Drosophila melanogaster: one gene and its partner. The protein of the gene in region 2 interacts with the protein of the main gene of each other region in a pairwise test. Each region holds a gene or a part of one and is shown on either strand. Other genes may lie near its edges.

Evidence for each region. The genes of interacting proteins can lie anywhere in the genome.
Region 1: the proteins of CG4730 (region 2) and CG10654 interact in a two-hybrid assay, tested with the Drosophila melanogaster proteins (2 studies listed by BioGRID).

Annotation. Positions count from the first base shown.
Region 1 is NT_037436.4:12,504,857-12,509,811, forward strand, and holds CG10654 (uncharacterized protein), read right to left. Parts: upstream 2,985-4,955; 5' UTR 2,855-2,984; coding exon 2,294-2,854; intron 1,632-2,293; coding exon 954-1,631; 3' UTR 518-953; downstream 1-517. Other genes in the region: vih (vihar), read left to right, coding at 1-292; sti (sticky), read right to left, coding at 3,501-4,955.
Region 2 is NT_033777.3:25,676,517-25,680,673, forward strand, and holds CG4730 (uncharacterized protein), read right to left. Parts: upstream 2,167-4,157; 5' UTR 2,080-2,166; exon of another isoform or gene 2,069-2,079; intron 2,032-2,068; exon of another isoform or gene 2,022-2,031; coding exon 1,012-2,021; intron 951-1,011; coding exon 782-950; 3' UTR 556-781; downstream 1-555. Other genes in the region: Lgr3 (Leucine-rich repeat-containing G protein-coupled receptor 3), read left to right, coding at 1-514; CG5039 (uncharacterized protein), read left to right, coding at 2,261-2,383, 2,457-2,642, 2,698-2,724; CG4743 (uncharacterized protein), read right to left, coding at 2,850-2,964, 3,077-3,492, 3,556-3,822, 3,875-3,970.

The sequences.
Region 1 (4,955 bases), on a different chromosome or scaffold from region 2:
TTTGTCACTGGATTTTCCCAATTCCTATCCGTATGCAGCACCCGTGGTGAAGTTCCTGACGTCCTGCTTCCATCCCAATGTTGATCTGCAGGGCGCCATCTGTTTGGACATACTGAAGGACAAATGGTCGGCCCTGTACGATGTGCGCACCATTCTGCTGTCCATACAATCCCTGCTGGGCGAACCGAACAACGAGAGTCCACTGAATGCGCAGGCCGCGATGATGTGGAATGACCAAAAGGAGTACAAAAAATATCTAGACGCCTTCTACGAGAAGCACAAGGACACCTAGAGTTTGGCAATTCGTTGTCATATATCCTATGCTCATATTGCGGCGTATTTATTTACATATAGTGCAAGCAACTCCACTCATCCGAAGACCTACTGCCAACCAACAAACCAATCATCAATCACCACCGTAACACAGTACCATCAGTTAAGTGGATCACCAGATCAATTTCAACAACGTTCAATGCTGATAGTTCATTTGGCAAAAGACCCCGTGCGTTTCTTATGTAATTGTCGATCGATTGACGGATAATCTGGTTTTTATTCTCATTTCTTTCCTCCTCCCTACAAATTAATGATAAATGAATGTATTGGTAATGTAATTTTAAAACTGTCATCCGTTCTTTAAGCTTAAGGATAAATTTTAGTTAATTGTTTTATATACGCATGATTACTTTTTTGAGAACTACTGCGAGTGCGCGCCATCGCCATCGCCATTTTTTTGTACTGATGATTTTTAAGCGACTATGCTGCTGCGCCGGCCATTATGTGAATGTTAGCTAATTTTAGGGCAGCCTCATCGATTCGTCAACCATTCGCGTCGTCTTAGTATCTCCAATTATGCGGCATTCTCCCACAATACTGGCATAACAAAATTCCAAGTAATTCGAATCATTGTAACAGTTGTGTTAGCTTGATGTTATTGAAACCACAAATAAAACGAATTATTGAACTACATCCATCGCTTTGTGTTTCCTCCCGTGAGCGTTGAGCTCCACGCTGTTCTGGAAAATGCGTCCGCATTTTCTGCATCTGAGCAGCAGATTCTTATTGCCGTGCTTGCGCAGCAGATGATCCACCATGTTCTCCTTGGTGTAGAATCTGCGATCGCAGCATTCGCAGCAGTATCTCCGACCCTCAACGCTACCATGGACCATCTTGTGGCGCGTTAGATGTGCCTTTCGCGCAAAGCACTTGCCACACTCCTCACAAATGTGCCGCGCATCCGGGGACTCTGACTCGTGATACCTTTCGTGCGTCCTTCTCATGTGATATTTGAGACTTCGGTTCGCTGTGTACACCTTGTTGCAGCTCGGACAGGCATAGATGATCCGCGCAGCGTCGGCATTGTTATGCATCTGCCGCAGGTGCGACTCCAGCAGATTGGCCCGGGCATAGCTCTTGGCACAATGGACGCAGGTATACGGTCTCAGACCCTCATGCTGCTGCATATGGGCCTCCAGCAGCGACGGTTTGTAGAAGCCACGGTGGCAAATTCGGCACTCGAGGGTGTGTCGCACTCCTCGTCGTTTTCTGGCACCCAGCAACTTGCTAGAAATGGATAGCTTCTCCTGGCCCAGATCCTGTTTGGCTGACTCGTCCTCTATTACGTAGACTTCCTCCTGGAAAATTTAGGGTATTATATATTTAATTACCATAGCAAACTGAATGGTGGTGGTTTTTTTTTTTTTTTGTGGGAATTCTGTACATATCTATTATGAAGGAATTTTTTATGTAAAAAGGGTCTAAGCATATAAAAACAAACTGCTTTTGGTTGAGTTAAGTAATTTGTAGTAAGGGTAGGAATTACATTATGTTTACTCATTACTTTAAAGTGGAAATTTTTCCTTAATTTGCTATTAAGATTATCTTATCGCTCGACTTAGAAGATGATAAAATGAAAGTAATATTTTGTGAACCGAACTTTTGGCGGTCACTTATCTGTTTAGTTTAGTTTTTTAATGCTAAAAATATTAAAGGCGCTATAAATAATATCTAAAATGAGTGAAAGTTAGGGAACACATTTATCTATTCTAGATAAAACTGGCCTTTAAAATCGACTTTCTTATTTGGAGGAGCCATAAATCGAGGCGTGTTGCCATCTTCCCAATTTTATTAGTGGAAAATTTAAAAATACCCAATAGATTGGGACGTGCCTCCTTTTCGAGTGCTATCACCCACCAAACAAAAATAGTACAACACAAACAAACGCTGTCGAAATGTTTTTGTTTATGGCGGGGAATGGGGAGCAGTATTGTCTTTGCTTGGCTGCTAGGCAACACACCTCGAGCGAAGCACCCAATGTGATTCTAGATAAGATTACGGCCAGAGGCAGGCACACTTGTGGCCAGATAAAACTCACAATCTCCTGCGTCGCTGCGATGCAGGGTGCGTGCGACTGGGCTTCCGGATTAGTGGACTCGTTGCTCTCCGAGGGGGTGTCCAAGTCGTGCCAAGTGTGGTCCTCCAGTTTGTGGCATCCGATGTCGATGTCCTGCAGCAGCTTCTCAAAATTGCGCAAGGACTCTGCGCACATGCGTTGAAAGTCGTGGAACTTTTGCACCAACTGATAGCAGCACTCGCAGATGCTTTTCAGCACCAACTGGGGTGGCAAATCCCTAACGGCATCCTCTCCAGTACAGCCGTAGTACTTGCTGGCCAGATCCTGTTCGCTGTCCAGATTGTGACACGCATCCTGCGGACCCAGTAGCACAAGACAAGCGCGGCATATCATCGTCTTGGCACCATCGCATCCATCCATGCCGGAGGTAGTGGTGGTGGTGGAATCGGCGACAATGCGACCCGCGCACAAACTCAGCTGGGAATCAAACATCGTTGCTGGCATCGTCGGGAGATTCAACGGGCCACTCAAATGGCGTGGAGCCAATTGAAATCAATTAACACAATCTGCGACGGCGGCAGTGCAGCAGTCCGGCGTCCAGCGGCCAAGCCAACGATGGCAGTAATGCCAGCGGAGAGCACGATTCCATTTCCGGGGCTTTCGAATTGCGGGACATTGAAAGCTGCTGCCGAAAAGCTGCGTGGGATCAGCCCCAAAAGCTTGGCGTCGACTCCATGCCCCCAACTATTCTATTCGAAAAGCTATCCTGCATAGTAAAATTGATTTAAAATATTATGCGACTTCTTTAATTAATTAAAAAATATTTCCTTTAATATGCTTCGATATTTTAGTGATCAAAATAAATATATTAATTTAATATGAATTACCTTTTTTATCAAAATCTCAAGTTTTATTTGTGTATACAGCACAAAGTATTTAAAGAGTAAATTAAGTAATTTTTAAAAGATTCTGCCATGTGATTTTAGGCAATCGTTACACATGAAAAAGATTGTGAAAAAACATATGTTCTGACAAGTTAAAATAATAATAATCCAAATGTATAGCATATCCTAACCCTAGATATAACTACAACTACTCAGTTTGTAGTATTTTGCTTTGTCCATTCGTTTAGTTAATATATATCCTTCATCTATATGCTATTTCCGGTGACAGTCGAGCCCAAAGTCACAGAAGTGGCCACTGAAGACAGCGTTTCCATGGAGATATTGAACTTCTGCTTGAATGCCTGCATCGTGTCCAGATGGTAGATCTTCTGTGTTCCATTGCAGGGCCTCTGATCGATGGCCACGGCATAGAGATTGACATCTCCGCTGTTGGCCAGCAGCGTGGACATGTAGTGGGGCAAGTAGACGCGCTGCAGTTCCGGGGATTCCGAATTCTCCGATGCGTTATCCCCGCTGGCCATTTCCTTGCTGAACGACCGATGCAAACGGACTATCTGCACGCTTTGATAGTGCGATATGAATAGGAATGGATCGCGGTAAACAAATCCAGTGGGTGCATAGACCCAGTTCAAATCGTACGGCCTGGATCTGCAGCCAAACTCGTCCACAAAGACGCCATATTCGGCAAAGCAGAGCAGATACTCTTGTCGTGAGATGCGCACCGCAGTTAGGGGCTGGCACTTGGCAGTGCTCTCCATTGACTTATCGGACAGATCCACAAACTCCTCAGCCGCATAGTTGTCCAAATCGATCTCGTAGAACTTATCCGAGCTAACAATGGCCGAGTGACGCGTAAAGAATATGGATGTGACCGGCGTGGCCGTGTCCAAGGCTCGAACTGGCTTAAACATGTGCAGCTTAAGGTCGTACTTCAAGATGACAATCCTAGTGGACGTGGCCGCAATAGCCACCGAATCCAATGCGTTCTCCGCCTCATCGGAGATCAGCACTAGTTTCCATTTCTCCGATGGCGTGCGATTGGCAAATGGCAGCTCAATGGCCGACGTTTCCAGCACAGGCTTGTGACACGAACTGGAGCTCTGACAGCGTGACTCCAGCTGGCGGTAGTCACATTGATATAGCTTCTCGCCAACTGTGCCCACCATTATAGCCTTAGCCAGGCGCTTGCAAATGGACATGCAGCTCACCGATTCGAGACCAGAAATGTGCACCAATCGCTGCGAGTCCAAGTGATACGCATACAGTCCCGTGTTACAGCCCAATAGGAGTATTTGCTGCTCGGCCACTTCAAAGGCGCAGTTCACTTCGATCTCCTTCCGTGCCTGATCTTCTGCACCATCCGAACTGTAGACCAGCGATCCAATGTACTCGCCACCGCTGGTTGTACCACCCGCAACATCTACGCTATCCAAAGTCAAGCTGGAGACAGATTGAATACTGCTAAGATCATCGGCTGACGGTGCAGTCGGCTTGGTGGATCCGCAATGGCTCTGAACATTGGAGCGACACTTGCGATGCGTAACATCTTTGCACTCCTTGCATTTCCAGAACGGCGAACCGGCAACGACGGCCTTTTCGCAAACTACACAGTTGACGGCATCCACCTTGGACTCCTGCAGGGCCAGTTCGAAACGGTGATGAGCCTGGTTCTCAATGGTTACTTTAGTCGGTTTCTCCGC
Region 2 (4,157 bases):
CATCCACGAGGCCTTCCCGATGGGCTGGCTTTACTCGGCTTTCGTGTTCCTGGGCGTCAATCTGCTGCTGCTGGTGATGATTGCGATGCTCTACACGGCACTCCTTATTTCGATATGGCGAACGAGGAGCGCCACTCCGCTCACTCTGTTGGATTGCGAATTCGCTGTGCGATTCTTTTTCATCGTGCTGACCGACTTCCTGTGCTGGGTGCCCATCATCGTTATGAAGATCTGGGTTTTTTTCAACTACAATATCTCCGATGACATCTACGCCTGGTTGGTGGTCTTTGTGCTGCCACTTAACTCGGCGGTTAATCCTCTCTTGTACACCTTCACCACGCCCAAGTACCGAAATCAAATCTTCCTTCGCGGCTGGAAGAAGATAACTTCTAGAAAGCGAGCGGAGGCTGGCAATGGAAATGTGGCCACCACAACGACGGGCACGGCAACTGGATCCTCTCAGCATCCGGATGACTTCACGATCTTTGCCAAAGCCGCGATGAGATGCCATTAGGTCCTAACGCTGTCGAACTGAAGGATTCTTGTGGCGCAGATCGAACTTGTATACCACCAGATTTAGCAGCATTTATTTTGTCTATGATATCGAAAATCTATATATGTATGTGAATATCTATCCCTGTCCGTGTAAGATAACCAAATGAAAGTGTGAAATAAATTGAATGTGATATTTGTAAGGCAATTTTACGGAATTTAAAATGGGATGCGAGTTAGTGTAAGATTAAGCTATTATCTAAGTTTTGGTAATAGTTTTAAATACTTTTTATTTAGAAATAGCAGCGCTATCATTTTTGGCATGGTGTGATTCTTTCTGGTCCGAGTAAATCTTTGCCATTACCAACTTGGAGCGCACGATGTGAAACTTTCGCATTTCCTCCAGGTCCTCCATCTGCACCACCATGTTATGCTTACGCTCCAGGTGCATGCGTAGTCTAAAAAATTATTAAGGAGTGTTACTTTCAAATAATGTACACTTTAAACAAAATAACTAACTTGTTACGAGCTGGATAGCTCTGATGGCAGTGGGCGCACTCAAATGGCATGGCCGTATGCGTGCACTCGTGATTCCTGAGAGATGAAGATGAGGTAAAGGACTTCTGGCAGCCGGGAAACTCGCAAATGAAGCGAGATCCAGAGTGCTTAACCTGCTGGTGGACAGTCAAATGGGATCGCTGTGCGAAACGACGATCACAGAGATCACAGGAATAGGGAAAGTCTCTGTTATGATAGCGTTTATGAATCTCCAGGGCTTTGGCAATGGCAAAAACCTTGCCGCATGTGTCGCAGTGGACTCCAGACTGCCTGTGCTTCGAATCGACGTGAACTTTCAGCGCCTGCTTTGTGAGGTAAACCCGGTCGCACTGGCTGCAACGAAAGTTGGGACGATTGGCCAAATGAATCATCTGGTGCTTGGCCATGCGGGAATGGTTCCTGAACTCCTTGTGGCAGAACTTGCAGTTGGATTTTCCCGTATGCCGATTGCGTGGCACAATGTCCTCTAAGCTGTCGATAGGGGTTTCCTGCTTCTCCTCAATCTCTTCCATCAGGAACTCTTCATTCATATCCGCCTCATTCTCCTCATCCTCCACGTCGTCTTCCTGTTCCGTGTTGGCTTCGGTTGCCACAAATATCTCCCTCAACTGCTGATTGGCAATGGCCATTTTCTTGTGGAAGTCGTAGGCCCATTTCAGTTCCACCGCACAACGTTTGCACAAGGTTCGTGGCTCGTTTTTGGGATTTTGCCGCAGGTCTTCCTTGGTGCAGATCTCGTAGCAGTCGTAGTAACTCAGCGCCGCCTCCTGGTCATAGATGACGGTCATGTCCAGCATTTGGTTGGGATACGGCTCCTCCAAACACAAGCGGCAGCAATTGCTCAGCTCCAAAGAAGTAGTACTGTCTGAAAGTGAGACTTCATGGGATACAAGCTTCACGGGAGCTTCTGCAGTTCGCCTTGCTATTGTAAAATTAAGCGTTTGGCATACTTTTGATGTTTGGGGATCCATCTGTGCAAAGCTTATTTTGATCAAATTGAAAAGATTACTCAGATTACCTAATAAATACTTCTTTGTTTACAGTTGAAAATCCCCGCTCTTAGCCATAAATGTGAAGAAAAACTAAACATAGCTGTGCTAGGGTTGCCACCTATTTCACGAGAGGTCTGGCAGCACTTGGGAGCGCTGAAATTTTTGAGAACTTTTTGCTTCGTAGTTGTTGTGATTTCTTTGTACATCCCCTGAAAACGATGAAGTTACTTGAGCCTCAGACGACCATTAGTCCTGAACCGGACATACTGCATCCGGACGACGGTCAATACATATGGCTGCCAATTTCCGTGCTCGTTGGCATTTTCGTTCTGGCTGCACTGGTGCGTTATCGCCACAGTCTGTTTGTTTAAGTGGATGTACATTTGTTTAATTTATGCATTTGGGTGTACACAGGTCTACGCCATGTCACGTAGTCGCTGTCGGAATTCCTGGGATTGCCTAAAGAGCAGGAAGGCTCCGCGAAGTGGATACATCAATGTGGATGAGGAGGATTCCGATGTGCCCATGGACTGCGGAGATGAACTGGGAGATCAAAGGACTACTGCTACTCTCCTCACTGGTCGCCTCCACATTCAGGATGTCAGTGAGCTCGTGACAATGTCCCAATACAATCACAGCCCTTTTTCTTCCACAGGGAGCGAATAACGCCTCCAATGCCTAGTGAATCTCAAAAGTCTTCCATACACTTTATTGTCCACGTTGTCTTCAAACGGTGGTTGTCATCGGTTTAGTTACTACTGCAAACTACGTGCCTCTACTACAAGTACAACGAAAATAACCCTAATTTTAATGATCCGTACTGGTGGCGCCAAGGATTCGCGTCGTCAGGTCGTAGAAGCCAAAGAAGAATGCACCGCCCAGTGTGATCCACAGCACACGCGGCACAAAGCCAGCAAACAGACTGAAAAGTAACATCGAAGTACATTAATAAATGTAATAAATAGTTTTGTAAAGTTAATTTGTGTTTAAATATTAGGACCAGCTTGAGTTGCGTCTAATATGGAAATAATTACCCGCTGAAGCCTCGCTCCAGGTAAATGCCATGCAAAATTCTTCGGGCACTGCGACGTCGGTTGAGACTCTCCCTTTCAGCCAGCATAATTCGGGTTTTGACCACATCGAGCGGCGTAGTTAATCCCGCTGAAATGCCTCCAGCGACAGCTCCACAAAGAGCCACCGAAAAAGGAGTGGAATCGAAGCCGGTCAGGGGAGTCCATTGCAGCTTAAAGTACTCCCAGAGCGGAAACTGTATCAGACTAAATGGAATCTCCCGCATGATAGTGGAACCAAATCCCCTGTACAGACCACGTTTCAATCCCTCAGTGCGATAGGCACGCAGTAGAATTTGCAGGCCGGACTGTTTGTTGCCCTGCAATGTTTGGGAGCGTTGCTTGGCAATCTCCACGGGAACTCGGATCAAGCATGCCAACTATTGGATACAGAGATTCTTCAGATCTAAATACGAGGTGCTCAGTTTTATATGAAATCCTACCACTTCTGCTGCTGAAGCCGCTGCCATGTGAACATAGGGTGAATCTTTGGTTTGGGTGACCGAACTAAGGAACTGCTTTCCGCACTCGTAGGTGCAGAAAAACAGGGCCGCCGTGGGAGCACTTCCTGCAGCCGCAGGAGCGAGTCCTTTGTAGATGCCCCTGAATCCTCCTGCCCGCCAAAAGCCCAGCTCGCTTTGCAGTCGGGTCTTCACTGTATCTATGGGAAACAGCGCTATGTCCACTACCATTCCAGCCACTCCTCCTGCCTAAAACTAATTATTTAAGAACTAACTTTTCATTTAATTTTCATCTACTTACAACAAGTGCATGGAAAAATTTTAATTTATTGACCGGCTCTTGCATTTTGATTGCCACGGACCCCGCGGCCGATTCCAGACCCAATTCCGCTGCCATGTCCTAGAAATGATGTTGGGGCATCCACTTTAAGTCATCCCGTCGGAGTATTAACTAAAGTTGTTTTAGTAAACAAAAACATAAAATGTGGTTGTTAACGTAACAGTCAGCTGCTTTTTGCTGATCTGGCAGGTCTGCAGATAACAGCTGCTTGGTGTAGAGTTGCCAAGATGCTGAAACCATAACA